Oryzias latipes: one gene and its partners. The protein of the gene in region 2 purifies or fractionates together with the protein of the main gene of each other region. This does not show direct contact. Links are inferred from orthologs where the notes say so. Each region holds a gene or a part of one and is shown on either strand. Other genes may lie near its edges.

Evidence for each region.
Region 1: the proteins of ddx23 (region 2) and snrnp40 purify together in Homo sapiens (affinity purification with mass spectrometry; 3 studies listed by BioGRID and IntAct, counting the BioPlex papers as one, with this or other methods). This does not show direct contact. The link is inferred for Oryzias latipes from reciprocal best matches to the Homo sapiens genes DDX23 and SNRNP40.
Region 3: the proteins of ddx23 (region 2) and prpf8 purify together in Homo sapiens (affinity purification with mass spectrometry; 5 studies listed by BioGRID and IntAct, counting the BioPlex papers as one, with this or other methods). This does not show direct contact. The link is inferred for Oryzias latipes from reciprocal best matches to the Homo sapiens genes DDX23 and PRPF8.
Region 4: the proteins of ddx23 (region 2) and prpf6 purify together in Homo sapiens (affinity purification with mass spectrometry; 3 studies listed by BioGRID and IntAct, counting the BioPlex papers as one, with this or other methods). This does not show direct contact. The link is inferred for Oryzias latipes from reciprocal best matches to the Homo sapiens genes DDX23 and PRPF6.
Region 5: the proteins of ddx23 (region 2) and tssc4 purify together in Homo sapiens (affinity purification with mass spectrometry; 3 studies listed by BioGRID and IntAct, with this or other methods). This does not show direct contact. The link is inferred for Oryzias latipes from reciprocal best matches to the Homo sapiens genes DDX23 and TSSC4.
Region 6: the proteins of ddx23 (region 2) and aar2 purify together in Homo sapiens (affinity purification with mass spectrometry; 3 studies listed by BioGRID and IntAct, counting the BioPlex papers as one, with this or other methods). This does not show direct contact. The link is inferred for Oryzias latipes from reciprocal best matches to the Homo sapiens genes DDX23 and AAR2.
Region 7: the proteins of ddx23 (region 2) and snrpd2 purify together in Homo sapiens (affinity purification with mass spectrometry; 3 studies listed by BioGRID and IntAct, counting the BioPlex papers as one, with this or other methods). This does not show direct contact. The link is inferred for Oryzias latipes from reciprocal best matches to the Homo sapiens genes DDX23 and SNRPD2.

What each region holds. Positions count from the first base shown.
Region 1 is NC_019869.2:21,982,709-21,987,379, reverse strand, and holds the start of snrnp40 (U5 small nuclear ribonucleoprotein 40 kDa protein), read left to right. Parts: upstream 1-1,659; 5' UTR 1,660-1,785; coding exon 1,786-1,896; intron 1,897-3,146; coding exon 3,147-3,276; intron 3,277-3,354; coding exon 3,355-3,448; intron 3,449-3,699; coding exon 3,700-3,865; intron 3,866-3,979; coding exon 3,980-4,102; intron 4,103-4,671. UniProt on the Homo sapiens protein: Required for pre-mRNA splicing as component of the activated spliceosome. Component of the U5 small nuclear ribonucleoprotein (snRNP) complex and the U4/U6-U5 tri-snRNP complex, building blocks of the spliceosome.
Region 2 is NC_019865.2:19,105,591-19,110,181, reverse strand, and holds the start of ddx23 (probable ATP-dependent RNA helicase DDX23), read right to left. Parts: upstream 3,044-4,591; 5' UTR 2,913-3,043; intron 2,238-2,912; coding exon 2,080-2,237; intron 1,990-2,079; coding exon 1,882-1,989; intron 1,716-1,881; coding exon 1,622-1,715; intron 1,354-1,621; coding exon 1,288-1,353; intron 1,209-1,287; coding exon 1,070-1,208; intron 982-1,069; coding exon 848-981; intron 1-847. UniProt on the Homo sapiens protein: Involved in pre-mRNA splicing and its phosphorylated form (by SRPK2) is required for spliceosomal B complex formation.
Region 3 is NC_019871.2:16,920,540-16,924,436, reverse strand, and holds part of prpf8 (pre-mRNA-processing-splicing factor 8), read right to left. Parts: intron 3,410-3,897; coding exon 3,246-3,409; intron 3,163-3,245; coding exon 3,036-3,162; intron 2,866-3,035; coding exon 2,673-2,865; intron 2,557-2,672; coding exon 2,369-2,556; intron 2,277-2,368; coding exon 2,038-2,276; intron 1,962-2,037; coding exon 1,815-1,961; intron 1,557-1,814; coding exon 1,346-1,556; intron 1,230-1,345; coding exon 1,113-1,229; intron 1,020-1,112; coding exon 772-1,019; intron 671-771; coding exon 491-670; intron 363-490; coding exon 227-362; intron 1-226. UniProt on the Homo sapiens protein: Plays a role in pre-mRNA splicing as core component of precatalytic, catalytic and postcatalytic spliceosomal complexes, both of the predominant U2-type spliceosome and the minor U12-type spliceosome.
Region 4 is NC_019865.2:15,463,863-15,467,759, reverse strand, and holds part of prpf6 (pre-mRNA-processing factor 6), read left to right. Parts: intron 1-34; coding exon 35-211; intron 212-1,868; coding exon 1,869-1,997; intron 1,998-2,098; coding exon 2,099-2,193; intron 2,194-2,540; coding exon 2,541-2,697; intron 2,698-3,853; coding exon 3,854-3,897. UniProt on the Homo sapiens protein: Involved in pre-mRNA splicing as component of the U4/U6-U5 tri-snRNP complex, one of the building blocks of the spliceosome.
Region 5 is NC_019861.2:37,264,255-37,268,848, forward strand, and holds the start of tssc4 (protein TSSC4), read right to left. Parts: upstream 2,841-4,594; 5' UTR 2,744-2,840; intron 884-2,743; 5' UTR 814-883; coding exon 55-813; 3' UTR 1-54. Other genes in the region: shcbp1 (SHC SH2 domain-binding protein 1), read left to right, coding at 3,049-3,181, 4,083-4,292. UniProt on the Homo sapiens protein: Protein associated with the U5 snRNP, during its maturation and its post-splicing recycling and which is required for spliceosomal tri-snRNP complex assembly in the nucleus.
Region 6 is NC_019865.2:15,451,279-15,455,617, reverse strand, and holds the start of aar2 (protein AAR2 homolog), read left to right. Parts: upstream 1-1,157; 5' UTR 1,158-1,427; intron 1,428-1,984; 5' UTR 1,985-2,119; intron 2,120-2,354; 5' UTR 2,355-2,411; intron 2,412-2,741; 5' UTR 2,742-2,882; intron 2,883-2,979; 5' UTR 2,980-3,984; coding exon 3,985-4,339. UniProt on the Homo sapiens protein: Component of the U5 snRNP complex that is required for spliceosome assembly and for pre-mRNA splicing.
Region 7 is NC_019871.2:25,537,511-25,541,950, forward strand, and holds the start of snrpd2 (small nuclear ribonucleoprotein Sm D2), read right to left. Parts: upstream 3,141-4,440; 5' UTR 3,012-3,140; coding exon 3,010-3,011; intron 1,666-3,009; coding exon 1,486-1,665; intron 1-1,485. UniProt on the Homo sapiens protein: Plays a role in pre-mRNA splicing as a core component of the spliceosomal U1, U2, U4 and U5 small nuclear ribonucleoproteins (snRNPs), the building blocks of the spliceosome.

The DNA of each region.
Region 1 (4,671 bases), on a different chromosome or scaffold from region 2:
AGAAAACAATAGCAAAGTCACTTTAGCTGATGAAGAAAAGTTTCTGAAAATATCATTCTTTCTGTCTTTTTCTTCCTTTTTGTGGAAAGATTATACCAGACACACTGAATTATGCTTTAGTGACAGTAATACAGTAAAATTACCCCACGAGCAATCTATTAAAGTTTGAAAGTGTGCATTACTGTGGCAGATTGTCAAGTGAATTTCTTTAAAAAAAAGTGTACACTCAAGTGGAGCAGAGAAAGTAAAAATTCTATTTTAGTGAGTTTTCTCCTATTCAAAATCTTACAGCCTGTTTATCACTCCCTTAATTTGAGCTGAGCTCGCCACACAAATGTCAAATCTCTTATGCTCATCCTAGATTTTTTTTGCTCAAACTACTCTAGTTTTGAGATTTTGGTACCCACAAGTGAGGAGGTGCTCTGCCACAGTCATAAGTACCTGTTTAGAATCGGTATGTGCCAACTTTATACCAGTACTGTTTCCCAAAACCAAGTAGTTGCATTGTCTGGTACAAGCTGAAGCTGGTATACAAACTGGAGACCAGGTTTTTTATGTAACTAGAGATGATAACAGTAAAGTGAGTTTTCAGAGAAAACCCCTGGATGTTTCCTCAATCAGTCAGCACTAAGGTGGCATACATTGCCTTGTACAGATCTGCGGTCAGGGCTGCACTGTGACAAAGTGGTTAGCGCTTTACTCTAAATCTGTGCATGCGTGGGTTTTCTCCAGGAGATCCGGCTTCCTCCCACCATCCAAAAACATGCGAGTGGCCGGGTAAGGCTCTGACAGCCCCATGACCCCGAAAGGGACAAAACGGGTTTACAAAATGGATAGATTTGCCATCAGTGTTTATGCCCAGACAATTCAGAGAGCAGAGACCTTGAGGTGAAAACTTGCAATCCCTTTATCTTCGTGGTTTCCGACCAAACTCTTCCCTTTAAGACAACTTACTGCCTCTCTTAGATTTCTACATAATTTGGGAGAGGAAATGAAACAGCAATCTTCTTTCATCCAATTCACCAAACGAAAGTCATAAAAGAAAATGAATTAATTTCAAAGGTAATGTGGTTGACAGAAAGAGTTCGGTAAATTTTTAACCTCTGCTGTGCTGTTCACTTCTTGCAAATAAAGAATGACCTTGTGCCTTTTGGGATATTTATTTGTACAAATATGTGGTTGAAAATGAAAATTGTCATTCGTGTCATTTTAAACTACGATGAAGCCAACCTGTCGCAATAAAGCATTAACTTCCCGGTACCAAAGAAATATAATTACTAATTTTATTTATGTAAAAATTAGCTCAAAGTTGTTGTTTTTTAATAATCGAGCGAACAAAAAATCTAAGTTGACAACAAGACAAGTCAGCAATGAATTTGGTTAGCTTATAATTTCGTCCTCTTACGGTTTGTACCGTCAGTTCAAAGACAAAAGCTCAGACATGAACAGTATAGGCGTTTGTCGTGGTAGAACGATAAGGAAAATCACGCAAAAAGTATCTTAAGTCTTGAAAAAAGGATGAAAATATTACCTTTCGTGTGGTTAGCTGAACTCAGATTGTTGTACTTCCGGTGCATTGTCGCTGACAACGTCTTCATCAGCCAATCACAGCAGGAGATGGATGTTTAAACCAATCACACAGCTCATACTCACCGGAAACACTTCATCCTGATTTCTTCGTTGGTGCTACGCTTTTCTCGTTTCCCATGAAGGCGCAAATAGTCATTCGGTAAACCGTAGTCACAAACAAACTTATTTTTGTCGATTATTTGCAATTATTTCGGGATGATTGAACCAAAGAAAAGAGCGGGAGACATGGCGGTAATTCCCACCGCTGTGAAGCGAGCCCGGAACGAGCTGGTGGCGGCGGCACAGTCCCAGCAACTCGTGGCTACGGTACGAAAAGAATCAACGTTCACACAAAAAAACTCAAATTAGAGAAAATATATACACACGGGTGTTGACCCGCATTTGTATTATGCATGCTTTAAATGATGTAATCTAAAATTTACTCAAACACGACATTTTTTGTGGTGCACCTATTATTTCTTGACGTAGAGAACACATGACAACGAATAACAACACGAGTTTTCGCTAGGATATTTAATTTTTGGATGTAATGTTGCTTCTTTAAAATACGTATTATATTCGAAATCCCGTTGTTATCAACAAACTGATGGTAAAGGAACCTTTCCCAGTTATGGGTGTTTCCGGGGTGAACCGTGAACAGGTTACAAATCCTAGGCTAATGTTATGATAGAAAATTAAAAAATGTTATTTTTTTTATTAAGCATGAGTTTTGTGTATTTAAACCTTTTCCAGTTTGTAGATGTTTTTCTGTAAGTAGATATTTTGATTATTGAGACAAAACTATAGGATATTTAACAGGATAGATACTAAATCTTTTTTTTCTATTGTAAAAAATAAATAGCTTTTAAACACTGGGGTTTCATTTTAGCAATCATCTTTTGATGTTGCAAAAATCTGCATGACATATCACCTGCAACAGTCACATTCACAGTCACCCATGCACACACACATTCACACACTGATGGCGGTTTCGCTCTCTTACTGGCGCCAAACTATAACCACCAGAAGCAATGTGGGGTTCAGTGTCCTGCCCAAGGACATTTCCACACATGGGTGGGCAAGGCGGGAACCTAACCTGCGATATTCATGATCAGGTGGACCGCTCTGCCTCTGCACCACAAGCCCCTGCATGGAAAGTGTGCCACCATAGGGTGCAGAGGCAGAGCGGTCCACCTGATCACAAATATCGCAGGTTAGGTTCCCGCCTTGCCCACCCATTTGTGGAACCTAACCTGCGATATTTGTGATCAGGTGGACCGCTCTGCCTCTGCACCACAAGCCCCTGCATGGAAAGTGTGCCACCATAGGGTGGCAAGATCCTTTGTGTCACATGATCAATTTGATCCTTTACAAATGATCCATTTCCTCACTGGTCTGCTGCAGATTTGCATTAAACTTTGTGGACTTTACTCTGAAGCGTTCTGTGGCACATTAAGCCCAAACGCACTTTTATTTATCTGTCTTTTATCACATGCCTGTTTTCTTTTTAGATTTCACTTGGACTAAATCTGGAAGAAAAAAACAGAAAGTAAATTAAACTGACCTTTCTCCTCCAGGGTCCTCCTCGGACCTCCAGCCTGCAAGCTCCCATCATGCTGATGTCGGGCCACGAGGGCGAGGTGTACTGCTGCAAATTTCATCCAAATGGAGCCACGCTGGCGTCTTCTGGCTTCGACCGACTCATATGTAAGCAAAAAGAGGCAAGCTGCCGTTCTCCCGGCCTTCTTCTGTTGCTTTGTTCCTCACTTACTTCCTTTACCTCAGTTCTGTGGAACGTTTTTGGGGAGTGTGAAAATTACGCCACCCTGAAGGGCCACAGTGGAGCTGTGATGGAGCTGCATTACAACACAGATGGCAGGTAGGAAGAAAGCTGTAGATTTTATCTTTAAACTTCACCTTTAAATTGACATTTTTCTTGTTTTAGGTTATGTTTACAGTGAAAGTAAAGCTCATATTCTCATTGTTTCTTAGTCTTAGTTTGATTTCAAAAACTAAGGAACTTTATGGAACAAAAAAAATGTTCATCTGTAAATTTTAGGACTTGGAACTATCTACATTTCTTAAATAACCTTTCCATAAAATTTGACTGGATCATTTTTGTGCCTCCAGCTTGTTATTTTCGGCAAGCACAGACAAGACCGTGGGCATTTGGGACAGTGAAACAGGGGAGAGGATTAAGCGCCTGAAAGGTCACACTTCCTTTGTTAACACCTGCTACCCAGCTCGCCGGGGGCCACAACTGGTCTGCACCGGCAGCGATGATGGGACGATAAAGGTGTGACATTTTTATTTTAGGTGCAGTTATTTATTCTGAATGCTTCAACTGTTGAGGTCCCATTCAAAGTTTTTAAATGTTGCTTTATTGTATTTTTGTTAATCGTCACTGCAGTTGTGGGACATCCGTAAAAAGGCGGCAATTCACACCTTCCAGAACACCTACCAAGTTTTGGCCGTGACGTTTAATGACACCAGCGACCAAATCCTGTCTGGAGGCATCGACAATGACATCAAGGTATTTGGATTGTTCTAAAAAAAACAACAACCAGCAGAGTGTCCTTGGTTTTGTTTTGTAAGATTAACAGGAAGTCTGAAATCTCAGCTGCTACGTGGCTCTACTGTAGATGGCAAGAAAAAAGTTTGACATTTTATAAAAACTCAGTGTTTAAGGTAAAAACTTTCTGACATTTTGAAAGAAAAAAGAAATCAGTGATTTAGTTGTTTTCAATCCGTTTTAAATAACACATTTTATTAGTCTGCCATAAAGCTTAAATCAACGTTTTATCATGTGTTTGCCTTCATTTAAATGCACCAAATAATCTGATTCTACTTAGATAAAGACTAACATGTGAAAAAAAAAATTTCGGTTTCATTTATTTATTTGTTATTTGTCAAATTCCTATTATTGTAGATAATAGCGAAATGGGTTAAAAAGATACAATTTAAAGTGAAATGGATTCTGTGAAATTTAAATATCGTTAGGCAGAATTGTTATTATTGTTTGTAGATGGGAAGTGATTGATTTGTGTTGCATGAAAAACAGGAATAAATGAAAGAGTTGGTTGTGACTTAACTGACCTTTCA
Region 2 (4,591 bases):
ATCACCGCAGTGATGAAAAATCCCACACCGTCACAGCTCTATTCCAAACAGTGCCTGTGACGCGGCAGTAACACGGCAGCAATATGGTAGTAACAGCACTAACAGGGCTGGTAAAAAAAACATACCGGTAAAAATCACAGAGAGAAAAAAAAAAGAGTCACTGAGAGCAGCAGTAACTTGAAGGCGTCCGCTCCGTCAGTGCGGCCACTTGTGCACTGAAACCATGGAAGTCTTCCTCCTCAGTGTTGATTGGAATAGCGTCAGAGATTCTTCGCCACACTCTCTCTCCATCTCTCCTTCGTTGTCACTGTCAGTGTCACTCTCATCCTGAGGCAAATTCTCTCCTGAGCTTGCGCTGTCCTCTCCATCATGCAGCAGACCACCTTTTCCAAACCCGTTGGTGATGGTGGATTTTTTTCACACTGCTTTTAATGATCGCTTTTAACTTGAAAGCTGCATCATATGCATTTCTTCTTGCATTTTCCATGATGAGGGTCTGTTTGTGCTATTCATTCACAAAGCAGGAATTTACATTAAACTTGCGTCTTCCTCGACACATATACCGTATTCCCCCTGCCTCACGCTTTCCCTTTCTGCTCGAAAAATTGCATTTAAAAATGCATAAATTAGCTGCATCATTGAATAAGCCACAGGGTTGAAAGCGTGTGACAAAAATAGCGATTTATAATCCTGAAATTATGGTACATGGAACAATCCAGAGACCAGGAAACTGCTCTTAAAAGTACCCCGAAGCCTCTAGATAAGGTATATTTAAGAGAAACAACCCAAAAGCTGCTTCCTTCCTGTCTTTATCAAAGCATTTGACGCAACTGGGATTGCAACCAACCTTGATGGCATGGAGTTCTTTAGTTTTATCTTTCTCCTCCCGCATCTTTAGGCGCTCATCGTCCTCTTCATTTCCATTATTCTCTCGGTCCATTCGTTCCCTCCTCTCACGTCTCTCCCGCTCCTGTGGGTCCTCTGGGAGAGACAGCCACATCTTTTTTAACACGTCTCTTTAGCAAAGTAAAATGCCGGGTTGTTTTCGAGGAACAAGTTAGAAACTCACCCAACATTTTTCTACCCATATCCTGAAACACCCTCCTCTTCTTCCTCTCGTCTTCCATCAATTTCTTCTTCTCCTCCACCTGCTGCTCCCTGCGCTTTATAGCCTCGGCTTCTCTCTCTGCTCTTGACAGAAACTTGGGCTGAAAAACAAAACAAAAAAATAAAATTTACAATAGAAAAATGAGAAAGAAGAAACACTTCTCTCGGGAATAATCCAACCTTGGATTCTGCTTCTTCTTCTGCCTTCTTCTTGGCCAAAAGCTCCTCCAACGAAAGCGGTTGGACCTGAACCACAACACAATGCAGGTTCAGTGCATCACTTCAAGTATTGTTTCTAAATCAGCACAAAACTTTTGAAACTTAAAAAAACAAGAAGAAATCCCAATCAAAAATTAAACTTTTGGATCTTTCTTTGTTCAAACTCCTAAATCTTGGTTAAAAAATATGTTTAAAAAAATGAAGCTTAAAAAACAACCATGTCTGCCCCTCTTTGCCTTGTTTGTGGAGTAAATGATTATTATTCAAGTTTTTTTTATAGATAGAAAAATCAAACCTTTTCTTTCTTTTTATTTTCCTCTTCTTCCTCCTCTGTTTTGATCTCTTTTTCCTTCTTCATCCTGCCATCCTTTGACTTTGGAGACGGACTTCTATAAAAGATAAAAACATATAAAAAAATAAAATAACCTCAAGCCGTTAGAGCCATTTCCGGGTCATCGTAAGTCTCTACAAACCCAAGAATGCCAAAGGGAGTTCCTTTCCCATTTCCTCTCACAGTATATTAATAATGATGTGTTCTCTGCGAGATATCTAGACCTTTTATTGCGATCCCGGCGATGGCTGTCCCTCTCTCTGTCCTTGCGGCCCCTGTCCCTGTCTTTATCCCTGTCGCGGTCCTTGTCTCTGTCCTTCATGCGTCGGTCTCTGTAAATATAAAACAAATCAGAAAAAAAACATTAGAACGTGAACCCAATTAGCCATGATACACTGACACAGTTCTGCGTGTGTAGCAACCTTTCTGCGGATTTGGAGCGGTTCCGTTCGCGAGAGCGATGACGTTTGCGCAGTGGAGACGCTTTGCGATCTCGGTCCCGGGAGCGGCTGCGTTTCCTCTCCCTGTCCTTGCTCGCTGAGGATTCAGCATCTTTCTTATCTGTGGAGTCAGCTGCCATCTGCAAACACAATAACATGTAAGCAGAACTTTTTTTTAAAACCATCACCTGGGAAATACATCATAAAAGTTAGTTTCTGTATTTTTTTTATTGTTTTTGCAACATATCAAAATAAAGTGCTGTTTTATTATATTCACATATATGGATAGAAGCACTAACTGGAAAACAAGACATAATGCTCATTAATTTTGCATTAAAATTCACATTACCAAAAAAAAATTTTATACATCAGCGTCACAACTTGACATTTCGCTTTTTCACAACAATTTCTTTACGAAGTTCCAGTTAAATGAATTGTTTTTCCCACAAAAAGAACAATTTCTTATGTAAATTGTAAATCATAAAAGAAAAAAAACATGCTTAGAGTTTGAACTTTCGAGTAAAATATATAGATACAAAAGCAAAAGGAACTTTAAAAAATAATGTATATTTTAAAAAAAAAAAGACAAGGAAACGTGATTTACTCAATCTTTGGGAAATGAATGTTGCTGCTATGCATATCCAGCGCGAGTTAGCGCTAGTAACACACTAGCTAGCAAACGACTTAGCTACAAAGGCCGCTTCTTTCTACATTAACTCTCCAATTCTGCACCACCGACATCATATAAAACACATTATGATAACCATAAGTTTAACCCGCTCAGAGGCTTTATATTTAGCAGATTGTTAACTTACCCTTTTCACTTGTCAACAAACGTACTGCGATAGAGAAACGATTCAAGAAGACTCCATAACGCTCGAAATAAGCTTTCCTCGCAAGGGTACGTGGGAGTTGAAGTTTCGTGCTTTGGTGATCCGTGCATGAAAAGCAAATATCAACTACACTACCCAGCAATCTCGTGACCTTTCTGAGGACCCAGATTGTTTAATGTATGTCCACCTAAATGCCTGTATAAAATTCAGTTTATTTTTCATTTTGGGCACAGGGTGGCGATCGCGATGCATTTATCTGAGATAGATAGATAGATAGATAGATAGATAGATAGATAGATAGATAGATAGATAGATAGATAGATAGATAGATAGATAGATAGATAGATAGATAGATAGATAGATAGATAGATAGATAGATAGATAGATAGATAGATAGATAGATAGATAGATAGACCAAAAATATGAACGCAACACTTTTGTTATTGCTCCCATATTTTATGGTATGAACTCAAAGACGTGAAACATTTTCCACATACACAAAATAACCAGTTCTCTGAAATATTGTTCACAAATTTGTCTAAATCTGTGATAGTGAGCACTTCTCCTTTGCCAAGACAATCCATCCCACCTCACAGGTGTGCCATATCAAGATGCTGATTAGACAGTAAGATTATTGCACAGGTGTGTATGGCAGGCCATATCTCTATCGGTCGTTTCGACTATCACAATTACGTTACAGATATCTTGAATTACAATTCCAACTATCCAAAATGTAATTACGACTAGTCAGAAATACGTTGCTGATATCTACAATGTTCATTCCGGATAGTCAAACTTAGCCTTTTGATGTTAAAATGGCCTGCCATAGGTGTGCCTTAGACTGGCCACAAGAAAAGGCCACTCTATAGATAGATAGATACTTTAAAACTCAAATTGTTTAAATTAAGAAGTGTGGTTGTGGTTGAGATATAAAAAGATTTGTTATTCCAAATAAGAGCAGTCTCCATGGAAAATAAATTAATTATTCTGAATGTATTTTGTAGTTACTTTCCCTTTTGCAAAAATGCATACATTTAGCAGTTAAAATTCTTTTTATGAAACTTTGTAGAAATGATGGATCCCAGACCCCTCAGTGAAATCAAAATGTATGTCTGTGTGCTGAATTTGAGTTCAAATTGGCTACGCACGCACATATTTCTATTTTCGGCCTTCACCAGTTGATCAAAAAATATCTGAAGCAAAAATCTGAAATATAACCACTGAAATACAAAAATGTAATTTGTTTCAGTTTGAAACAGATAAAAATAGAAAGCTGCTGGAATAGGAAGAATAAGAAAGAGAGAAGCAAAAGTCTAAGAAGACCAAGCCAAAAGATAGATCTATTACATTTGATCCTCTAGAAAACATAGCATGGATCATTTTTTTAAATTAGTGTAGGGTCTCCGTTTTGAAACTGTTTAATTAACAGAAACAAATTAACTTTAACAAAAAGTCTAAATATTAAAAACCGTTAATATGAACTAAGCCACAGTATTTAGGCCATGTCCAAGCCATGTCATGTAAAACGGTGAAGCAGTTCGTATTGTTGCATCTTGAGGCGATGGCCTTAGTTTACTGGGTTGAACAGCCATCAGCCAGTTTGCTGGTCAGGAGTTCAAATTTGAAGCCTGGTGGTCATTTTGTCCTGAAGCCTATCACTA
Region 3 (3,897 bases), on a different chromosome or scaffold from region 2:
TTAAATGGTCAAATACAGCATCAAAGAAACTAATCTGCAAGTCAAAAACATCTATATGAATGTAATTTTAATAGTTCTATAATTTCATGCTTGAAATTAAATAAGGTTAACTTGTTTGTGACTCTCAGTAGCATTGACAAACTATTGACTTTCTATCCATTCTTTCAAAGAAGCAGATATTCACTTCCAGATTAATTTATTCTCATAAGGAGCATCTCCGTCATACCTGATACTGCTTGAAATCTGTCCTGACTCTCCAACCTTTGTCATAAGCCAGAGTGTGTCTGTCTTTCTGGAAAAGTGTGTTGATGCGGGGAATTCCTCTGTCCCAGGAGTCCTCCAAATCCTCCAGAGTCAGACGTCTAGAACAACAAACAACACGTTTTACACGACTTGTTTAACACTCGCATTCAACTGAACCCCTTCATAAAACAGTTCCGCGAACAGGAACGTTGTGAACCCTTAAACGCTGATCTCATTTTGTCCGCACCTGTTCTGACCAATGGCTTCCTGTCTCTTGAGGGCGTACTCGGCCCAAACTCTCTGAGAGTCGATGAACTCACTCTCCCACGGCTGGATGTATCGATACAAGTTAGGAATGAGCTGGTCTTCTTCGTGGCTCATTCCAGACCTGAAGTGGGTGATTCCCACGTCGGTCTGCTTAGACCACCTGTAGCAGCAACAGAGAACTGAATGACTGGTTTGTTTAGACACCACATGTGTTTTTAGCTTCAAGAAGAGACGTTGGGACAGAAATGTGGCAGAACGTACCGCAGGTCTGACTGTGGGATGAGGACATGACCCATGGACAGCATGCCCAGCCCACCCAACTCTTTGGGGGTGTAAAAGACCACGGGAGGGAAGCGGCTCGGCATTTTGGAGTTGAGGCCAATCTTGATACGTGTCTGGATTTTGTTCTCACATTTCACCAGCAGGTCCAGCAGCTCCTGAGTATTGACCACAGCCTCGCGGAAGTACGTCATGAGGCCGATGAGAGCGGTGTTCCACTTGTTCACAATCTAAGAGGAAAAACAAGACAATGGATTTTTATTTGATCATGGTCTATGATAATGGCCAGGACACCAGAGTGATTTACAGGGATTTCTACTAGCCTTGGTGAAAGTGGTGGAGCCAGAAGCCATCAGGATCTGACGCACTCTGTTGTGGAAACGCTGCATTGACTCATCATCCACTCGGAGGAAACACTGCGCAGTCCTCTCTTTTGTTACCTGGCACAAAGAAAAACAACCATTTTCCATTTCAAAATAAACTGAACAATGTTTGCTTTACACACGAGACTGCAGCTGTCTCCAAAAGCCAGCAGCTGACCGTTATTGTTCCTCACCTCATTCTGCAGGTTCCAGACGCCATCCTTGTGAGTGAATTCCTCATAGCTGGTGCGACACTTGGGAAGAATGCGACACTCGAACCCACACATGTTGAAGAGCAGGTTGGGGTTGTCTTTGCTGTAAACGGACACGAAGCTGTTCTCCCACTGCACCGTGGTCACAGACCTGGGCAGGCGGTTCTTGATGTCCCAGAACACTGCACGTCCACTGGGGAGGGAAATAAGATTTGTGATAAACGCCATCGCAGTCTCCTCCAATGTTACGTTTAAAGTTATGCTGAAGAGTGTTTTTCCGCCATCAGTGCATGATGATGTGAACAGTAGTAAACTAGAAGAGGTGCTGTGCAGAAAGGGTTCTTCTCCCAACAACTATGAGCTCCAAGGAAATGTTAGAGCTGCTTATAACTGTGCTTTCAATTAAAATTCTGATGAATCTATTCACTATATATTGTGAAGATGAACTTACAGGTTTACATCGTGCTTCATAAGTCTCATGCGGGCGTCACGGGGCCAGCACTTCTTGTTGTTGTACCCCACTATGTTTTCATTGTTGGGGTCCGGATGCTCCGTCAGATATCGCTGAATCAGGTCTCTGGCTTCATCAGCAGAGAACCTGAAGGCCGTAAAAAGAAAGCAGAGTTTTAGAATCTGCCAATGAGTTAGGAAAGGCATTTTGTTTTTAGTCTCACCTGAAGAAGATGTGTATGCGGTCGATGTAACGGCAGTACAGTCGGATTGGGTGAGCAGACTCCGTTGCGGTGTCTTGGAAACTGAGGAAGTCGTTGGGCATCTGAGGGGAGCCCGCCATCTCACTGGCACGGTGCAGGCCGAGGACCAGCAGGTCCATCACCAGGCCGTAGTACTGCACAATGAACGAAGCAAACTGCAGGCCTCTGATGATGCCGTAAGAGTTGGTGTGGTTCATGTCCTAGAAGAAATGAATGTATTGACATCATGGACCAGTTTAAAGACAATGATTATGCGCTCAAGCTCAATGTTCCCAAACAGAGGAGAGCTTACTTTGTAGTTTATGACAACGTTGTTCTTGGCCGTCATGTAATCAGCGATGTTGTGGTCAACAATAAGGCGCAGTAACCTGTTCAGCAAAGTCAAATCGATTTTTTCGTACATCTTCTCGTAGCGGGACTCCAGCATCACGTTGCACTCTCCCTCCGCAGTCTCCCACACATCCTGCAAGTTGTTGATGCCTGACAGGAGCAGCCAAATAAACTACATTAGCTCCTTTGTAATATTTTTCTTTAAGAGCATTTAAATTACACGGCAGTAAAACATCTATTTGAAATCAACATAGGCTGGGACTCACCTTGGCACCACTTGTAAACCAAAAGTGGAGGTGGTTCAGTATCAGCAGGTTTGATCCAGGGTGGGAACAGCCGTCTCTTGTCTGCTTCGTACCATAGGTACTGATCCAGGTATGCATCTGTGATTTTCTCCAGGGGTTCCACATCATACACTGGCACCAGGTGGCTGTACAAATCCATGAACTCAATGCCAACCTGAAACGACAAGAAAAACATCAAATGTGATGCAATAAACAGGTTTGGAAAAAGGGTTTAACCGAACACTGGTTGAAAAAAAAGACATGCTCGGTTTTTTCAAAGGTCAACTTTTTCCCTTGAAGCTTTTAAATGTTGCAGCCAATATAGAGTCAGTCAGTCGTGCTGACCTCTTTGAACGCTCTCTGGGTGAGCAGGTGACGTTTGATCCTGGACAGAGCTTCATGAGGGTTGTCATAGGCTTGTTCGATCAGGCCGAGTTCCTCCCTCTGACTCTGATTCAGACGAGATTTCACACTATGAGGAAGGAAGATAAAAATCACAATCTTGAACAGGAGCAGTCGTGTTAAATTGAGTCCGTTATGTTCTAACATTTGTACCTGTAGGCCTCTTTGAGCCTTTCCAGAGCCAGGATCAACAGCTTGGTGTCATGTTTGTACGACAGTGGGGGAAACGGAATGGGCGAGAATCGCCGGCTCTCCAGCCAGTGCACAGTGGTGGTGTAAATGGCAACAGCTTCTTCTGCTGTGATGTAAGGGCCATCCTGCAACCAGAACACAAAGTTAGGAAAAAAGTTTAAAGCAGGTCAAATGTTTTAGATTGAGACTCATGGGTTAAGAATTATAACACTTTTAATTGTACTTTTTCAAATGATGAATTAAATTGTCTGAACAGTTAGTGGCCAACTGCATCTGTAACCAGCAATAAAAATAACTGTTCACATTGATGTTCCTCTTGTTCTTACGCACAGACAAGCAGACCAATGCCAGAGCGCCTTTGTAAGAGGACTTTTTCTTATTTAGAAAAAATATATATTTCGGAATGTGTTTTTCATCTTGTCAGCAATTTAAAAGAAAAATCTAAATCATACTCCTGACAGGAGGGTTAAATAAGAGTTTTATCTCCAGTGTGAAAGAGGTCACGTTATGTTGTGTACTGTATATACTATAACAGCATCTGGACATTTAAATTTTTACAACCATGTCAATTTTATGTTTTTTTTATTTATTATTTTGTCAATATCAATCTTAT
Region 4 (3,897 bases), about 3.6 Mb from region 2:
CCAATTCTCTTTTTGTTTTCCTCTGCCTTTTTAGAGAAAGTTGGCCGAAGTGTCAGAGGAGGAGTGGTTGAGCATCCCTGAAGTTGGAGATGCAAGAAACAAGCGTCAAAGGAACCCTCGCCATGAAAAACTCACACCTGTCCCTGATAGCTTCTTCTCCAAGCACCTGCAGAGCGGAGAGAACCACTCCTCTGTCGACCCTTTGCAAGGAGTCAGTAAATACGCGCACACGCACAAGATCCAACTAGAAGCACTGAAAACCATGCATCATGCTGCAGTCCCAGTTTAGTCCAGCAGGGGTCAGGAAACTTCACCTAAAACAGTCTTAGCAACTGCCAAATGTTTATGATACTGCTACTTTGTAGCTTCTGTACAGCAGCCGTGAGCTGATGGGTATTTGGACAGTAACAAGATGGAATTAGTTTATTGGTTTTAGTGCTTTATAACTGCAGTCCTGAATTCAGGCTGTGGAACTGTGGCCCTCCTTTGGCTTGTTCTTCTCTTATTATTCATTCTTATTCTTTCGTGCGTTTTTTTGTCCGTTCATATCTTCTGCATATTTTATCTGATTTCTGCCATTCAAGTATCAAAATGTCCTGCAAATTGAGGACATTATTGCTATCTTCTGCGATTTCTGCTACAACTTATGGTTTTTCTGCAATTCAACAAAATTGCTGCAAAATGTTGCCATAGAAGTACATAGGGGAAGGCTCTTCAGCAACTTCAAACTTACTGCAAAGCTAACTTCTGCATACTTTATGCCGTTCAAAAAATTCAAACATGCATTTGTTCTGCTCTTTTGTAGACTTTTCTGCTGTCTTTAAACCATTTTGGTAACATTTAAAGTTTTTCAAAATTTTAAGTTGTTTGAATTTCAAATATAATGGAAGTCAATGGAGACAGTGCTTCAACTTCTCTGTTTTTGAAATGCATCTCCTCCTATAATTTCTCAACAATTATTTTAATCTGACGTATAGTTGAGACACAGCATCATTTTGTTTGGGACATCTGTCCATCTCAGACTCTGTAGCGTTTGTGCCTACGTAGATGACATATACAGCTGCGAGCAGTCCTGGAATTTGAACCCGTTGCCATGGAGACAGCACTCTCTTTCAGACACGCACAGACACACTGAGACGGGCTTTGCAAAAGTTCAGGGGACCTTTGACACTTTCAATGACACATAGATGTTTTTTTATTCAAAGTTTCAAACACAAATCCCCGTGTTTGGAATAAATTCTGTTTGTATGAACAGCTTTAACTAGCATAGCATTAAACCTTTATATTAACATCATGCTAGCTGTAGGTGCAAATGTAGACATTCCTTTACATTTTTGTTATGTAACCATTACATCTACATTGTGCTGGCTCACTTATGTTAGATCATTTAATTTGACATCTATCAAGGGTTTTCAAGCTAATTTGGCATTTAGCTAAAAATTTTACAGGTTTTTTTGCAATGTGAATTAATTGCAGCATTATAATGGTGATGTCTTCTGCAGCTTGGCAATCCGAAAACCTCTGCAGATTTTACGCAAACAGCTTCAGCAATTTATCCAGCCTTTTTCTTTTCAATACATTTCAGCTTCCTCTGCTAAAAGTTATGCGATTAAGCCAATAAAAGCAACCACCTTTTGCAATTAGTCAGTTAATCGTATATACCCAGGAAATGCAACTTTTCTAGTTATTCTTGGCACATTTTTTGTCATTTTCAGTTCACAGCATAGAAAAGCAGTTTCACACATTTACAGTTTGTTCACATTATATATTCTATCTTGTTACACTTGTGAGGGAACTGTAATTGGAAACCGAATTCCCTGGAACAATAATGCTCCTTCTCTTCTAACATTATTTCCTGTCTGCACTAGCTGGGGGGCCTGAACACACCTTACCCTGGGAGCATGACCCCTGGTCTGATGACACCTGGAACAGGAGAACTGGATATGAGGAAAATTGGTCAGGCCAGGAACACTCTCATGGATATGAGGCTCAGTCAGGTATGCTTTTTGTGTAATTCAGTATGACTTCCTCTTTAATCTGCTTGTGTTCTGCAGTGATATGGATAATTGTTCTGTTGCGTTTGACTTTTGCTGTGCAGGTGTCAGATTCTGTGAGCGGGCAGACAGTCGTGGACCCTAAAGGATACCTCACAGATCTGAACTCCATGATCCCAACTTATGGAGGAGACATCAGGTAACGACAGCGCGGCCGTAACTTCTTTTCTTTTATACGCGTTTGTGATCCCACCATCAGATGTTTCCACTTCCTTGCATAACAGATAAGATTTTCTATGCATTAACCAAAAAAAGCATCGGATAAACCTTTTGTGTGAAAGAAAGTGGGAAAGATTAAATCAAAGCGCTATCTAAAGCTGTGCATTTTTCTAATTTTTATTTTTATTTTATTTGGTAAGTGCGAACTGTAAAGTTGGGGAGATAGCTTCTAAATTTGCATCTCAATGAGTAAGAGGTTCCCGGGAATGTGGGAAGTTGTTGAGATTGTCTGTTTTTGATCATTTGTATCTAACTCTTTGGGTGCAGTGACATCAAGAAGGCTCGCTTGCTGCTGAAATCAGTGAGGGAGACCAACCCCCATCATCCACCTGCTTGGATTGCTTCGGCCAGGCTGGAAGAGGTCACTGGTAAACTTCAGGTGGCGAGGAACCTGATAATGAAAGGCACAGAAATGTGCCCAAAGGTAAATTTGAGGTTATTGCAGGCTTGATCGAAGGGGTGTGACAATCACAGCATCACCGCATCGGTGATGACCGCATCACAGCACGTTTTTTTCTTCTGCATATGGTGTGTGATTGGAACTAATAAACACATTAAACACATTCATCTTTGCTGATAATTTACTTTTTCTGCTAGTCCCGTGTTCAGACTTCAGGGGCTTCTGGGGGAAACCTTTTATTACTGTTCTCCTTCACTCCCTGCGCGGCTCTCACTCCCTCTTGCGCCCCACACGCTCCCTCTCCTTACACACACGTGCGCGGTTTCAGCAGCACATACAAATCCTCATTGTACAACAGAAATTCCGTCTCGCGAGGAAATGCGACAAATTTACTGCGTTCTAATTATTCATTTCCATTACAAGTTGCGTGGGTGGTGGTGTTTATTACTGTTCTCCTTCACTCCGTAACACCAAACACGAACGGGCTCTGTTAGATTTCGATGAATATCACTACATGTTTTGTTTGGGAATTATTTCGTGCAGCGCAAAGTTACGTGTCTGTATAAACAAAGGCGGAGCCTCCCGCCACGTGTTCTTCATGGGTGTCAGGCTTCATGGCTACCGGAAAGGTGACAAAGTGTCTGCAGTCTGTTTATTACTGGGCAATATATAATATTCTGAGAAGATGTCTGTACCAGAGAGCACAGGTGAAGCCTTGCTTGCAGCTCCAGAGCGGTCCGCTGCAGAAGAATTAACACACTTGTGTGCTCCTTCCTCCTACATACGCAGCGTGCTGACACACATACACATAGTCATTCTACAACACCTATATAGTTAGTTCATTAGGTGGATAGGTAGTAGTTAGTGGTTACTGTTATTTGTTAATAAAGAATACTGCGTTGTAATTGTATTCATTTGCAACGCAGCCGCGGGGGTATTTTGTGTTTGGCCGGGGGGGGGTTAACCGCCACACCGCCCCCGCTGCTGGTTCATCACCGCGGTGATCAAAAATCCCACACCGTCACAGCTCTACTTGATCGTCTGTAAAATGTTTTATTTTTGAATGAAAATATTTCACTTTATTGTGGTATCTATAAATGCAAACCGAACTTTCTAGCATTTCAGTTTTCCTGTTCATTTATGAAAGAATCTTTCATGAGGATTTGTGCCTCTCAACCAGAGTGAAGATGTGTGGCTGGAGGCCGCTCGGCTCCAGCCCGGAGA
Region 5 (4,594 bases), on a different chromosome or scaffold from region 2:
ATAAAACATCAAATGTTCCAGCTTTAGCACAAAGTCAGCATCAAATCGAGCATTTTAGCACTCATCCTTGTGATCCGAGCTCCTTCTGTAGCTCTTCCTCTTCATTTTCTTGAAGGGGGTGAAGCTGGGGAGGGACTCCTGCTGGTCTCTGACCTCCTCTGCATCCTGCTGGGTCTTTCCAGCAGCCTTGTTGTCCTCCTCCTCTTCCTCAGCCAGGTGACTGAGGTGCAGTCTCTTCTCCTTTCCTTGCTGGTCTGACTCAGAGATTTCTTCCTTGAACGCTCGTTTGGGTTTAGAGAAGACCACCTTTTGCTGCTGGTCGTGGGGGGGTTCACCGGGGGGGCGGTTGCCCTCTTCAGGCCGCAGACTGGACAGGAAGTTGTGCGCCGCCCTGCGGTTCTCCTGATCAGTGGTCTCCTTCACGTCCTCCAGGCTGTAGCGCGTCCAGCGATCAGGGTGCAGCAGGTAGTCCGGGACCCCCCTCTTCTTTGCAGGAGGGGGACATTTGGGAGGGGGCATGCTCTCCTCGGGGAGCAGAGGTGCCGTCTGCCTCTCGACGCCATCCAGGCAGTCGAAGACGCTGCGGCTGCGGTCGGAGAACGCAGAGTTCCCTCCGCTCAAGACGAACGTGCTCGCAGTTGAGCGGGTGGCGCCGAGAGCGCACGCCTCCTCGCCCCCGTCGTCGCTGTCATCCAGCTCCGGGTCAAAGGGCGCCCGGCTCAGCTCTTCCTCGGGCTCCGACTCGTCACTGGCCGACAGCTCAAAGCCTTCTTGGTCGTCGCCGCAGCTCTGGACGCATTTCTGCTGCGACATCTTCAGCCGCGGCTGCAGCCGAACCCCGAGCCGCGAGGAAGACAAACCCGGTCAGGTGGGAACCCCAAAACTGTAGAGGAAGACACCAAAGGTCAGGCCACCCCATCAAACCTGCATGGACTGGTTTTAACATCTACCAAAACAACAACAAGCTGCTAGGACCTGTGAGGACGGACCACCGAGCATCCAACAGTAAATATGAGGGTTTTGGAAATAACCTGTAAAATAATAATGATCCTCTATGTTTACATCCATTTTAAAAGCAAGCATAATTATTTAAGTCCTAATTCTGTTCAATTCAAAACAAACTTGAAATAAATGTTTTGAAATAATGACCCAATAAAAGGTCAATAATTACAAGAATGCGCACGTGCAGCCAGTGCTGAACGTTGTCATTGGCTGCACGGACCCACAGGAAGGGTCAAGGTTAGGATTTCGGTAAGTTCAGGCAGGTATCCAGGAAGCACGTTTAAACTAGCCTGACTTTAAGCCTGAACTCTGGCTGAAATCCGCCTGAACTTGCTTACTCTGGGTATGTCGGTATGACCAGATTTGAGTTAGTGTAATTACGCTGGACTTGGTAACCCTAACTCAAACTCCCCAACCATCAAATCAGAGAATATTTGAATGAAACGTCCTTTCCCTACATCTCAAATTCAAATTATATAACCCAATATTTCAATAATTCAGAAAAGAAACAAATACGAACCAAATATTTCAAACTCCCCATCCCTCCTAAAGCCAAGGAAGTCAATTTTAAAACCTTTTCAGGTATTTTACCCTTCCAAGGAATTACTAAGAAAACGGTTTGGAATTCCTGAAAACTGCTGTTCTTTTTGTCATGATGACATTGAAACAACTGAGCATCTTTTCTTTGAATGTTTTGACTCTAATGTCTTTTGGAATTATTGGCTTTTCCCCCAAATCCCACATTTAGCAGACTTTTCTATTAAGGACATCATTTTTGGGTTTAATTTAAAAAACAAAAAAACACAGAACTTATTTTAAATGTTGTAATTATTTTGGGTAAATTCTATATACATAAATGTCAATTCCTTGAAATCCAACCATATTCTTTTACATTTCATAAAGAACTCTGCTCTTTTTTTCATCTGCAAACTTCATGGAAATCAAACTTGCTATGGAACTTCAAAGTATTATATGTAACTTGCAGCTTTTTGAGAACCCCCCAAGTCAAGAATCATTAAAATGTCTATGTGACCCCCTTTTTATTTTAATTTCTTTTATTTAATTTTTTTTCGGTATTATTGTTATATTTTTATTTTATCCTGCCTATGTTGTTTGTTCATGTCCTGTACTTTTTCTACTTTTCTATACTTGTCATAATTGTATACAATTGTTACAAATTGTAAACCTCAAGTGTTTTTTCAATTAAAAAAAAAGCTAAAAATAAAGAAAATACCCCCCTGGTTCCTGAGCGGCTGTTTCTGCAGCTCTCCGCTCCTCCAGGATCAAAGTACAATTTTCTCACAGTTAATGGGATTTTAACTTTAAATATGTTTTCCATAACTTTGTTTTCTAGTAAAAATACGTGCGAACAACAATAATAACATCATCATGATCATCAGCCTTAACAGCGCATGAATTAAAACATCTGTTTCATCTCATATATGAATTTTTTTTGTGCCTAAAAAACTAAAGCTTTTGTTTTGATTTTATTTAAAAAGATTGGCAATAAAAATAAAAATAACTCGGAATATTGACTTCGTAAAAACAAGATTCAGACTGAAGTTAGTTAGCATGCTAAGTAGCACGATGCTAGTAGTAGCGCGACATGCTAACAACGTTACAAATGCTTATAAACAAAACAAAAATGCTGTCTAGCCGAAAAGAGCTGCGAAATGCGCTGTTGTTTACATGACAAATATTTATATAATACGCGTAGTTTTGACTTAAATCCCGTTTGTACCTTTGAAATAGCGCAGACCGCCGGCCGAAACCCTCTTCTTCTACGGTAGATCGTGTAATGTTTACGTCATTACTGCCCCCTAACGATTGTCCTGTGGTACTGCAGACCGAGCCGATCCGCGCATGTAAAAAAACAAGGGCGGGTCTTTATATAGCTCCCTGCTGTGATTGGCTGAGCTGCAGCAGACCGGGATCTTTTGAAAGTGTCAGGGCGTGGGCTCAGAACTCCGCTTGTTGTTTCAAAGCTCCAAGTGCCGCGTGATCCTCATTTAATCCCGTTAAACCGAGACTCTGGCGAGCGTTTCAATGGAGTTCGAAGCCCTGGAAACCGGGTGTACCGTCAGCGACGTGTCGGACTTGGTGGTGGTCGATCTGGATCCTCAGGTCGAGACGGACAGCGTTTGCTCCGCGGGACCCGGTTTATTGGATGTAGCGCAAGGTTTGTTACGTTACCGTTTTTGGTTTGAGTTTTCTTTCCTCCGAGTCGGTGTATGAGACAAGCTAACCGCTGCCGTCGAGGTTTGCTAGCTTGGAGATTTAGCAGACTTTTTATCCGAGTTTCCGGCGGTCTGTGAACGCAGCGTCTTCATATGTCGTCAGCCTGAGCTGCATTCTCGGAACTGTCAATCTTGCAGGATTTTCCAAACTTAACCCAAATACGACAAATAATTATATTTCACTCTCATCTGAGTAGACATTAACGGATGTTGAAATAAACAAATAACACAATTATGTTATTACAAAAACAAAATATACCTATAGAAGACCGCAAAAGGGGTGTCAGACTGTTTCTTTTTTTTTTTTTAAGATATCCTGCCTTATCTGCTACTGATTACCTGGATCAGGTGTGCTTCATGGCAGGTTGGTTGGACAACATGTAGGACACCGGCCCTCGAGGCCTGGAGTTTGACACCTGGAAAACGGGGGTGTAAATAAATTCATTTATTTGTGTATGTAGACACAGTATTTGTGACTCTTTTGTTGATTCTATGAAGTTGTTTAACAGATTGTTAAATAAAAGAGAAGAGAAAATATCTGCTTTCATGAGGATTTTGACACAGGAGGACCGGAAAAAGCCTTAAAACCTGTTAACTTACTAAAAATACAGCAATTAAGGACAAAAATAACATTTAAAATGCCTATGAAATTATTATTAAAATTAGAGTTGAAAGCATATTTTTTAAAATAGCAAAATAACTTTATAAATGAGTTAAATCAATGCAAACATTTTTTTTAAAGTCCTTCAAAGTTTAAAAAAGCATTAACAGTCTTTTATTTTGAAAAGTGGCGCTGGACAAACTTTCACAGCCATCATTCATGACCTCCGCTGGGTTCTGCAGCTCTGTTCCAGAACGATGATGCTGGAGACGTCAGTGACGAAGACGAGGATGACGACGACGACAGCGGGACAGACCACCAGAACTCTGAGAGGTCGGGGACGCAGCTGCAGAGGTCGGAGCGGCGGTCAGGAGCGACTCTGCCGGACACCTTCCAGACCGGCAGCCTGCTGTTCTACGAGAGGTTCAAGGCGTACCAGGACTACATGCTGGGTAACGGGGGACCCCAACGCTCGCATGGAGGCGGTTATATTACAGTACAATCATGCAAAACACCCACGACGGTGTAGAAAGAGCTGCAGATGGCGTTCAAACTTTATTGTTCACAACAGTGATGACAAAGCTTAGGCAGAGGCTTCAAAATAAAAACGGTTGGAGGTCAGACTCCCTCTGGCTGAAAGAAACCTCCAGCAGATTTAGGTTCTGACTGGTTTGGGTCGAGTCTGTTTTAATACAAAGGAGGGTGGGCCGGGTCCTGGGCCGACAAGGTCCTGGACGGACAGAGTCCTGGCTGG
Region 6 (4,339 bases), about 3.7 Mb from region 2:
TTTGAACTTATGGATCACCAAGGATTAAGTAAATAAACAGAAATATGAATTCATTTTTTAGACTTTGTTTCTGTTATAATCAGTGAGACCAACTTTTTCCTCTGACAATGACACCCCTTTGTATTGTTCAGGGAGTCTAGATAGAGTTAGCTCAGACCTTCTTTTTTGTTGAGGTTCATGTCTGTTCTTAAAGTTTCTGGCCAGAAATTAGCGCATGCATTCCCGTCCCCCTGTGCAAAAGACCCAATCCTGCTTTGCCCTGCAATTTGAAAGAAATCTGTAAAACTTTACGCAATAGAGTGTGCAAAATGACAATGTAAAAACTCCATGTTTGGTTTGTTCAACTTTTAATTTTTGTGTCTTTACTCCCAAACAAACAATGCAGACCTTCTGAAGTGAATGTTTGGTTGAGGGGAATTCTGACTCCAAACTCAGTGAGACAGACGATGATCTGCAAATGATGTTTTCAAAGTAAGGCTAAACATAGCAGCTACAATATTCAAGAGAAGTCTCTTCATGCATCTAGAAAAAGTTTTTTTTAAACTTTTGAGTCTCAATTCAGCAGTAATTATCTGGTGAGATCTTAAATTACACTAATATCTCATTTAGATTTCATGAATAAAATTTGCATTTGTTCCACAGGATTAGACAGTTCTCAAAGTTTCTGTCATTAAATGACAAAAAAATATTTCTCAAACTGAATTAAATGCTGATTCTTGTATTTTTACATCAATGCAGCTGAAATATAACTTTCTTTCTATAAAAGTGTTTTTCAGATGTCAGAATAAAATGTGAGAATATGGGAGAACAAAAACTTTCATTGTAGGAAATGTTCTGCTGGACCAGTTCAGTTACCCCCACCACCCCCACCCCCGCAGTCGGTTCCCATAGTTGTTTATTGTTATAAAATGTGGTTTCTCATTTTTTTTGTCTAAATCACAAATAAAGGGTTTCTTTATTTTATCATTCAACCATAAACTAGACCTCTAAACTTTTATTCATTAATACCATTATTATTAGAAAGTAACGCTAGTTGATGAGAAGAAAAGCTTCTCTTTTAGTGTCCTATCTTCCAAACGAAACCGAAAGCACAAAGGCAGATGATTGATTGCAGGAGTTTCCTCGACCTGAACCGACTGGAATTTGATGAAATCCTAAACCCAGCGTCAGTAGTCCATGACGGGGAGGAAATTGAGCAGCAGCAGCAGCAGCCTGGGTGATGCTGGAAAGACGCAGCGCTGCGTCGGCTGTGACTGACCCCGCTGCAGCTCTGACCTCTGCACCTGAGAAAGTGTGCAGTGCAGACAGTACCGAGAGGAAGCAGAAGGATAATGAGAGCAGCTGGAGCGTTAATTCCACGAACCTGCAAGTCACTGTCAGACATAGGTTTGCTCGTCTGAGGATCCTGCTGAAGAGCATAATAAATGGTAAGCGCACTGGTGCGTAATTACGCACGCACAGTGACAAAGTGAGTTGTTTTAGTGCTTTGATGCCAAAGCAGAGATTGAGAATTAAACCTGAGACTCGGACTTGAGTCTCACTTCAGTTTCAAAGGCAGGGATTTAAGACTTGAAAGCCTATTTAAGACTGAAACCTTAACTTCAAGAGCATCAGACTAGACTTTGAGGACTTGAGAACATTCTTAGTTTATTTTTAGTTTTACCTTAAAAAAAAAAAACAGATTGAGGTCTAATATTTTTGTGCTGTATGTGTCACTATTAGGTGGTTTAAAATACTGTAATGACATTAGTGAGAATCACACATTTTTAAAAATAATTTCCAACATTTTGGATTTGACTTGTAACCAAAGACTTAAAACCAGACTATGACTTGGGAAAAGTGGATTTCAGAGCATTTTAATGCCAAAGTCTGTGCACTTTGTCTTTCTGTCATGTGATACAAAGATGCCCAGGAGCCGAGTGATTTTATTCAGTCTTCACTGGGCTGCATTTAAGGTACTTCCACACCTCTTTCTTTTATGCAGTGTCTGACCGGAACTCTACTCCACAGTGTCCTGGTGGTTCTCTTGTTGGCCAACTCATCTGGTAAAAGTAAATGTAACTACAAAGACATACTGGGCTTCTACAGAGAAGTCATCTTCGTTGAGCTGCAGAATCTGGTATGACGACCAAACTGACCGCAAAATAAGAATTTCAATGTTTGTTTATATTCAACAGCCTTTTACCTACAGCTGACACTAAGAAAAGTGTTGGAATATATGGTTAGAGACTGCCCTCCAGTGTTTGTTTTGCAACACACACACAAAGAAAAGCCTCAAAACGAATTTTCCCACACTTTGAATGAGATGAAACTGGATTTCTAAAATAATATTTTTGATGACTAATGTTTTTCAGAATTTGACTGTTTCTCACAACTCATCCAAAGGGAGAGATCCCTGCCCCTCTGCAAAGGTGAGCATCAATGCTATAGGTACATTAGATGTAGTTTGGTGGCTGTAAAACGGAAATCACACACACAACAAATGCAGTAAACGTAGTAACAAAAATGGAAACAAATTACAGAAAACTGTTAAAATAGAACATTTAAAAATATTTTGCTTTAAAAAAAAAAAAACAATATTAAAAGTAAAAACAAAAAAACAAAAAAGGAGATTTCTTTAACCCTGATGTGACATATTTGTTTAGTTTGGCAAGTTTTGTCTACCCAAATACTTGCATTGTTTGTTATCAAGGTCTTTAAATGCTGTCTGTTTTCTCCTTTTTCCTGCCATCTCATGGCAGGCACATCGCATCCTTGTGTCCATATACATTAACACACAGCAGGTCCTCTGTTTGAAGAGCGGCAAGAAGCTGTCTGACCTGAAAAAGCCAATAGAAAACATGGAGCAGCTCATCGTTCAAAACTGCAGTCCTAATTATATGGTGAGAAAAAGTACCGATGCAGATCTTTGAAGTATGCAAAAAAACTTAAAAATCTGAACTAATTTATCTTTTTTTTCTTTTTTTCTTTTACTTCTAGGGAAAGAAAAACCCCTGTTCATCTGCCCAAAAAATACAAGGGAGAAAAGGCAAGAGATTTAGGGTGATCAAAACCATAAAGGCATTGATTAGATGTTGGGAAAAACTCAAAAGTGTCGTACCCTCTGATAAATAGTATGACTTTGGTCCCTAGGACCCGTGCTACTCTATGCACTCAAATTTCCAGATGGTTCTTCCAATCTGGTCAAGATAGACTTTGTAAAAAAAAAAACGGCTTCCTCTTTTATTGGAATGCTCAAGTTGTTTTATTCCTCCTTTTTTTAACAGTTGTCGAGATCTCCGAGTTTTGTGATTAAAAAAACGCCATCCACTGCATGTCAGCATTCCTCTTTGCAATATGAATTGTTTCCTAATAAGCCAAGATAAGCTAAAAAGTATTCACTCACCATTCAGATGTTCTCCAGTAAAATATGCACATTTTCATTCTTTGTAGCATGTTTTTTTTGAATGACATATTGACATTATACATATTTCCTGTCTTTTTTACTGTAATTTCATTTAATAAAATACTGAATATTTATTAATACTTTTATTAGAGAGGAAATTGTTGGTTTTGTTGTTTTTTATAAAAGGAAATCTTAAAGAGTGGAACTGTTCTTAAAAAGAATGTTTCCGACGGAACAAATAAGGTGTTACGCAGCGTCCGCCAGTGTTTACAGCCGAGAGTCCGCGAAGCGAATTCGCCACGAATCTGAACATTATCGTAAAGTAGCTTTTGTTCTTTGCATGTTAGTAAAAAAAAAAGTGCGAAGGGCAGTTCTTAGTCAGAATTATACTCTTTTCATTGTTTGTTTTCGTAACATTTACAGCGACGCAGAAATGCGTTTTTGTTCCTTAACAACACTCCCCTGAAGCAGCTTCTTCACTAGTCTGTGACTGTCTGTGGGACGTTCTGGGTAATCCTTTCCAATATTCAGGACACTTGTATTTTATTTTAGGAGGTTATTTGTGACACAAATTGAGTTGCGTCTGATTAAAAGCTAACATGGCTAGCAACTCTGTCGACATGGATCCTGATGTTGCTCGGAGGCTGTTTGAGGAAGGAGCCACGCTGGTGCTGCTCGGTGTTCCTCGTGGCACAGAGCTTGGGATAGATTGCAAAAGTTGGCAGGTTGGTCCTCGCTTCCGGGGAGTTAAGATGATCCCCCCAGGTCTTCATTTTCTCCATTACTGCTCTGTTAGCTCCATTAATAGTGGAGGAGAGGTGGGCCCCAAAACAGGCGTCTTCCTCACCCTTAAACCCAGAGAAATCCTCCTCGCCAACTGGGATCCCACTGCAGAAGACCTGGACTTTTCAGCCTCCAAGAATGAAGAGGAGTTGACTCGGATCCGGGAAACTC
Region 7 (4,440 bases), on a different chromosome or scaffold from region 2:
TCGACTTATTTAATTGTCTTTCCTTTCATCCAGACAAATCCAAAGTGTACCAACAAATGACAACGCAAGAGGGGGAGAGAGAGGATAAACAGACAAAAAAAAGGAGAAACCGAAACAGTACAAAAGTGATCCGAACCGAAATTGCCGTACCGAAACGGTTCGGTCCAACTACAAGGAAAAAACTGATCTGTGTCCGAAAACTGGAACTCTGTGTGTGTGTGTGTGTGTGTGTGTGTGTGTAGAGGATGGGGGAGTCAACCAATCAGAGTGCAGGACTCAGAGGACTTGGTAAAGTTAGAAAGATCTTCACAGATTCGGACTTCCTGCTGAGAAATTCCATGTTTAATATATTTTATATAGTTTTTCACATTTTAAGAGACATGATTCATAATAAAGGTGCTCAATAGTTCTAAAGATACTAAAGCTAATGTCAGCAAACTTTCTGTACTGACTAATCATGACCCTATTGTCCCCCCCGTTCCGTTTTCGTACACAGATCAATTTTGACACAAGTTTCTCACAAGGAATGTGTCAGAAGTCAGAGCGCAGTTGTTGTGCACTTGTGATGTGCGCCAGCAGATTCACATTTGAGCAGTTGTAATCCCAGATTGGAGGTTGTAACTCTAAATGGGAATTTGTCAGTTCTGATTTAGTTTGTCAGACTTTACAGCAGAAGATTTTTACACACAGATGCAGATTTTTGGTGTGCAAGTTCTCACATTGTAAATTACAAGTTCTCACACCAAATCTACAAGCTCGTCTATTTAGACACATTTTTACCTTCATACTAATAACTCACTGGCATTTGAAATCTTGGGGTGCTCAGGTGGATTTGCTCACATACGTAATCTATTCTTTTAAAAACCAAAAAGATCAGAAAATTACAATGCAAGAACTATTGAAATAAAACATCTTGCAATCTCCCTTCTTCATTGCTTAAGCTTTGTAAGAAAATTTGATTTTATTACACAAGTGACTACATATAGAAATCTTGCTGTTGACATCTAACCCTTAAAACAGGTTTAGTATTTAAGAAGTGGCTTTTTATTCAACTCATACTTGATAAAAAAACAAAACAATGCTTCAGAGAATGAAATCATTCAAACCCCACACCCACATCAGGCACAGTACCCAATGTGGAGGAGATGCTATGGACGCCTTTTTAATCTCTTACATTTGTGAGCTTATATTTAGTGTTTTACTTGTATTTGAATTCTTCTGAATGTATTTTATTCTTGATTCTATTAAAGGAATATGTCAAAGAGAGGAGGGAATAATTGAAACATTTTAGAATAAAACCACTGTAAGGCGCCATGTTATTTCAAATCCTGGAAAGAAGAAGAAAAAAAGACTGCAAAAATATGCTTTAGTGAAGCAACACTTTCTAAATCAAGATGCAAGCTCTTCGTGTTTGTTTCCTCTTCATATAAAAGTCCTAAATACACACTTAAACCTCTCTCCGCTACACCAGCAGCCCCCCAATACCTGTCGAATGCTTTGACTCTTCCAAGCAGCTTCTTGTTGTTGCGACAGTTAATGAGGACTTGGGTGTTGTTCTTGACTGACTGGGTGAGCACCGACAGAGGGCCAGTGTTGAACTCCTCCTCTTCTCTTTTCTGGAGCTCTTCAGGCGTCATCTCTGACTTAGGTTTCGTTAGAAGACTCCTGTGGATTAAACAAGTTCTGAATTAGTGATAACAGCAAACAAAATAAGCAACGATGTACTGTTTAAGCATCGACTGCTTGGGCGGCCTATTATTTGGATTTGGGCCTTTTTATTATTATTCTTTTAAATTAAAAAATAAATATAAAGACACAAACGCAACACTTTCGTATTTAATGCACACACAAGCATTAGTTACTGTTAATGCGAATCCAAGAGTTGGCTTCATCTGTGTGCCTCAACAAAATGATCATTTTCTTATAAAGTCAAGTTAGCACAAAAATGTACAATATAGGCAAGACATCTGAAAAGTGGAACCAGCTAAAAAAAGTCTCAGTTCCTGCAAAAGAGCATTTATGAGAGCTGAAGCTGTTGACTGAAAGTGCTCAGTTAATAGAGACATTTGAGAGGCAGAAGGTGCTTAAGCAGGAAAATGGACCACAACCAAATATCTAAATAAAACTAAACATGCAAAACTAGTATTAACCAGAAAACCATTGTACAGGAGACATTACATCAGACGGAATCAAAACTATTGAGGAATTATCTCACACACACAATAAATGCTTTGGTCATTGATAAATTGAATCAGTACATTTTAGTCTCGATATTTCTTTATATTTGTACAATGATCACTACAAATAGGCAGAAGTAAAACCTACTTTAAAAAAAATGGCTGCTCTGGATGATAGAGAAACAATTTACCTAAATAAAGGTCAACAAATACTAGACTTTATAAAAGGATCAAGTTTTAAAACATTAAAGCCTCCCGCCACCCTTAAATGAGCACAGAACATTTATTGTTTCCAGATACATTTGAAGTTTTCAACAATCTCTGAACAGTGTGTGCTTTGAGATCAGCAAAGAGTTTAGGCTCTTTACGCACAAAATATTTAGAACAAAACTTTGGCTTTCACACAAAATGAGTCTATAACCGACGACTTTGATCATATCATCTTGCAGAAGCTTAAACATTTCTACTTTCTAAAGAATGAATGCTGCAATCGCACAACGAGGACATTTACTCATGATGGATAGAGCAAGCTAACAGTCTCATTAGCAATTAGCTAATGAGGCTTAGTACGTCCATCAAGCTTTCGCGCGATGTACAATCACAGAATTTAGCTTTGGACGTAACTTTTTAAACAATTTAATTTGAGAATGCAGTAATTGCAATGTAATCCAATTTAACACATTTCTAAAAACCACCCACTAGGCCACACAAAGCGATCTAGCACCAACTCGAAGGAAAATGCTGCTAGCTTAATAGTGCGATCTCCATATTAGCAGCTAAACGTAAAAAGTAACATTGCCCTCAACATCGAGACACAATAGAAGATACTAACATGATTCCTGGTTTATAAAAACCGTTTAGTAAAGTTCCAAAGCCTCTTTCGTGCGTCGGTCGTGTCTACAACGTTTTAGCCGACAGTCGCGTGCACAGAATCACTTCCGGTGATATTAACGCGCTTAAATAGAATAACTTCCGGGTTACGACGCAAACCAAAAATTCGAAAAATATTCTATTCTTTTTGGCAACAATAGAAAAAAAATCAAACAACGGTCATCAGCTAAAATATTCTATTCTAATCTTGCATCCATCTCTAGTAATTTCGTTACTGAAGCCGAAGTTAAAACTGTTATGAATGCCCCAGCATTCATGCAGCAATTTAACAAACGACATTATAGAACATGTTTAAATAAATACACGAAAAAGATTAATTAAATACAATTTGATACATTTAAATTCAGCATTGCTTTTATCCAGTTATTTTGCATTTGCAGGATATCAAAGTCCAGGTTGACAGTATCAAGAAATAATATAAAATAAAAGAGACGTTGCTTAGTCTGTGACCTTTGCCTGGTAAACAACAACAACATTATTAACAACAACAACAATTAAAATATTGGAAATAACAACAACAACAATAATAGTAATAATATTAATAACAACAAAAACAATAATAATAATAATAACCTTTCCTTTTTTTCATATGTGCCACGTTCCAAATCACAGATTGCCTTATCTATTATTGTAGGTGCTAAACAAATGATGCAGCATTGTTCATTTGTATTTTTAGCAGTATTTTTAAACTCATTTATTTGAAAAATATAATTCAATATCAAGAAACTATAAACATGGCCTTTTGTAACTGCATTTTGCAAATCAAACAATACAAAAAAACTTTAATAGTAAAAGTTTTAGGCTCCAGGTTTATTGCTGTCATGTCTTGCATACATGGGCAGCCGTGGTAGGGTGGTCACCCTCTGATCGTTAGATTGCAGGTTCGATACCCGCCCTACCGTTGAAGTGTCCTTGGGAAAGACGCTGAACTGAACACCACCTTGCTTCTGGTGGAAGGTTGGTGCCAGTGTTCAGCAACCAGGAAACCAGTATGTGAATCTGTGTATGAATAGGTGACTGATTTTGGCCTTCAAGGAAGGTAGAAAGCGCAGTACAATTATACGCCATTTACCATTTATAATACAATTATAAAAAGTTATAAGATGCATTATAGTGTCATTTAGAAACTCTCACAACTGAGTTCTATGAGATCTACAGCAGGTGTATTTATCTAATGTTAGTCTAATATAAGTTTTGTTTTGAAGAGATGTCTTAAAGAGTCTGAGCCGTTGACAAAAATGTTGTAGCACTTCTTTCAGATGGTAAAATCCACAATTCCTTTTTGGCCAACATCCAAAGGAGATCTTGTGACTTATGAAATAAGGAAACCAATTCCAAACACAAACAATCCCTTTGGGCTTTTTTTCAAGTT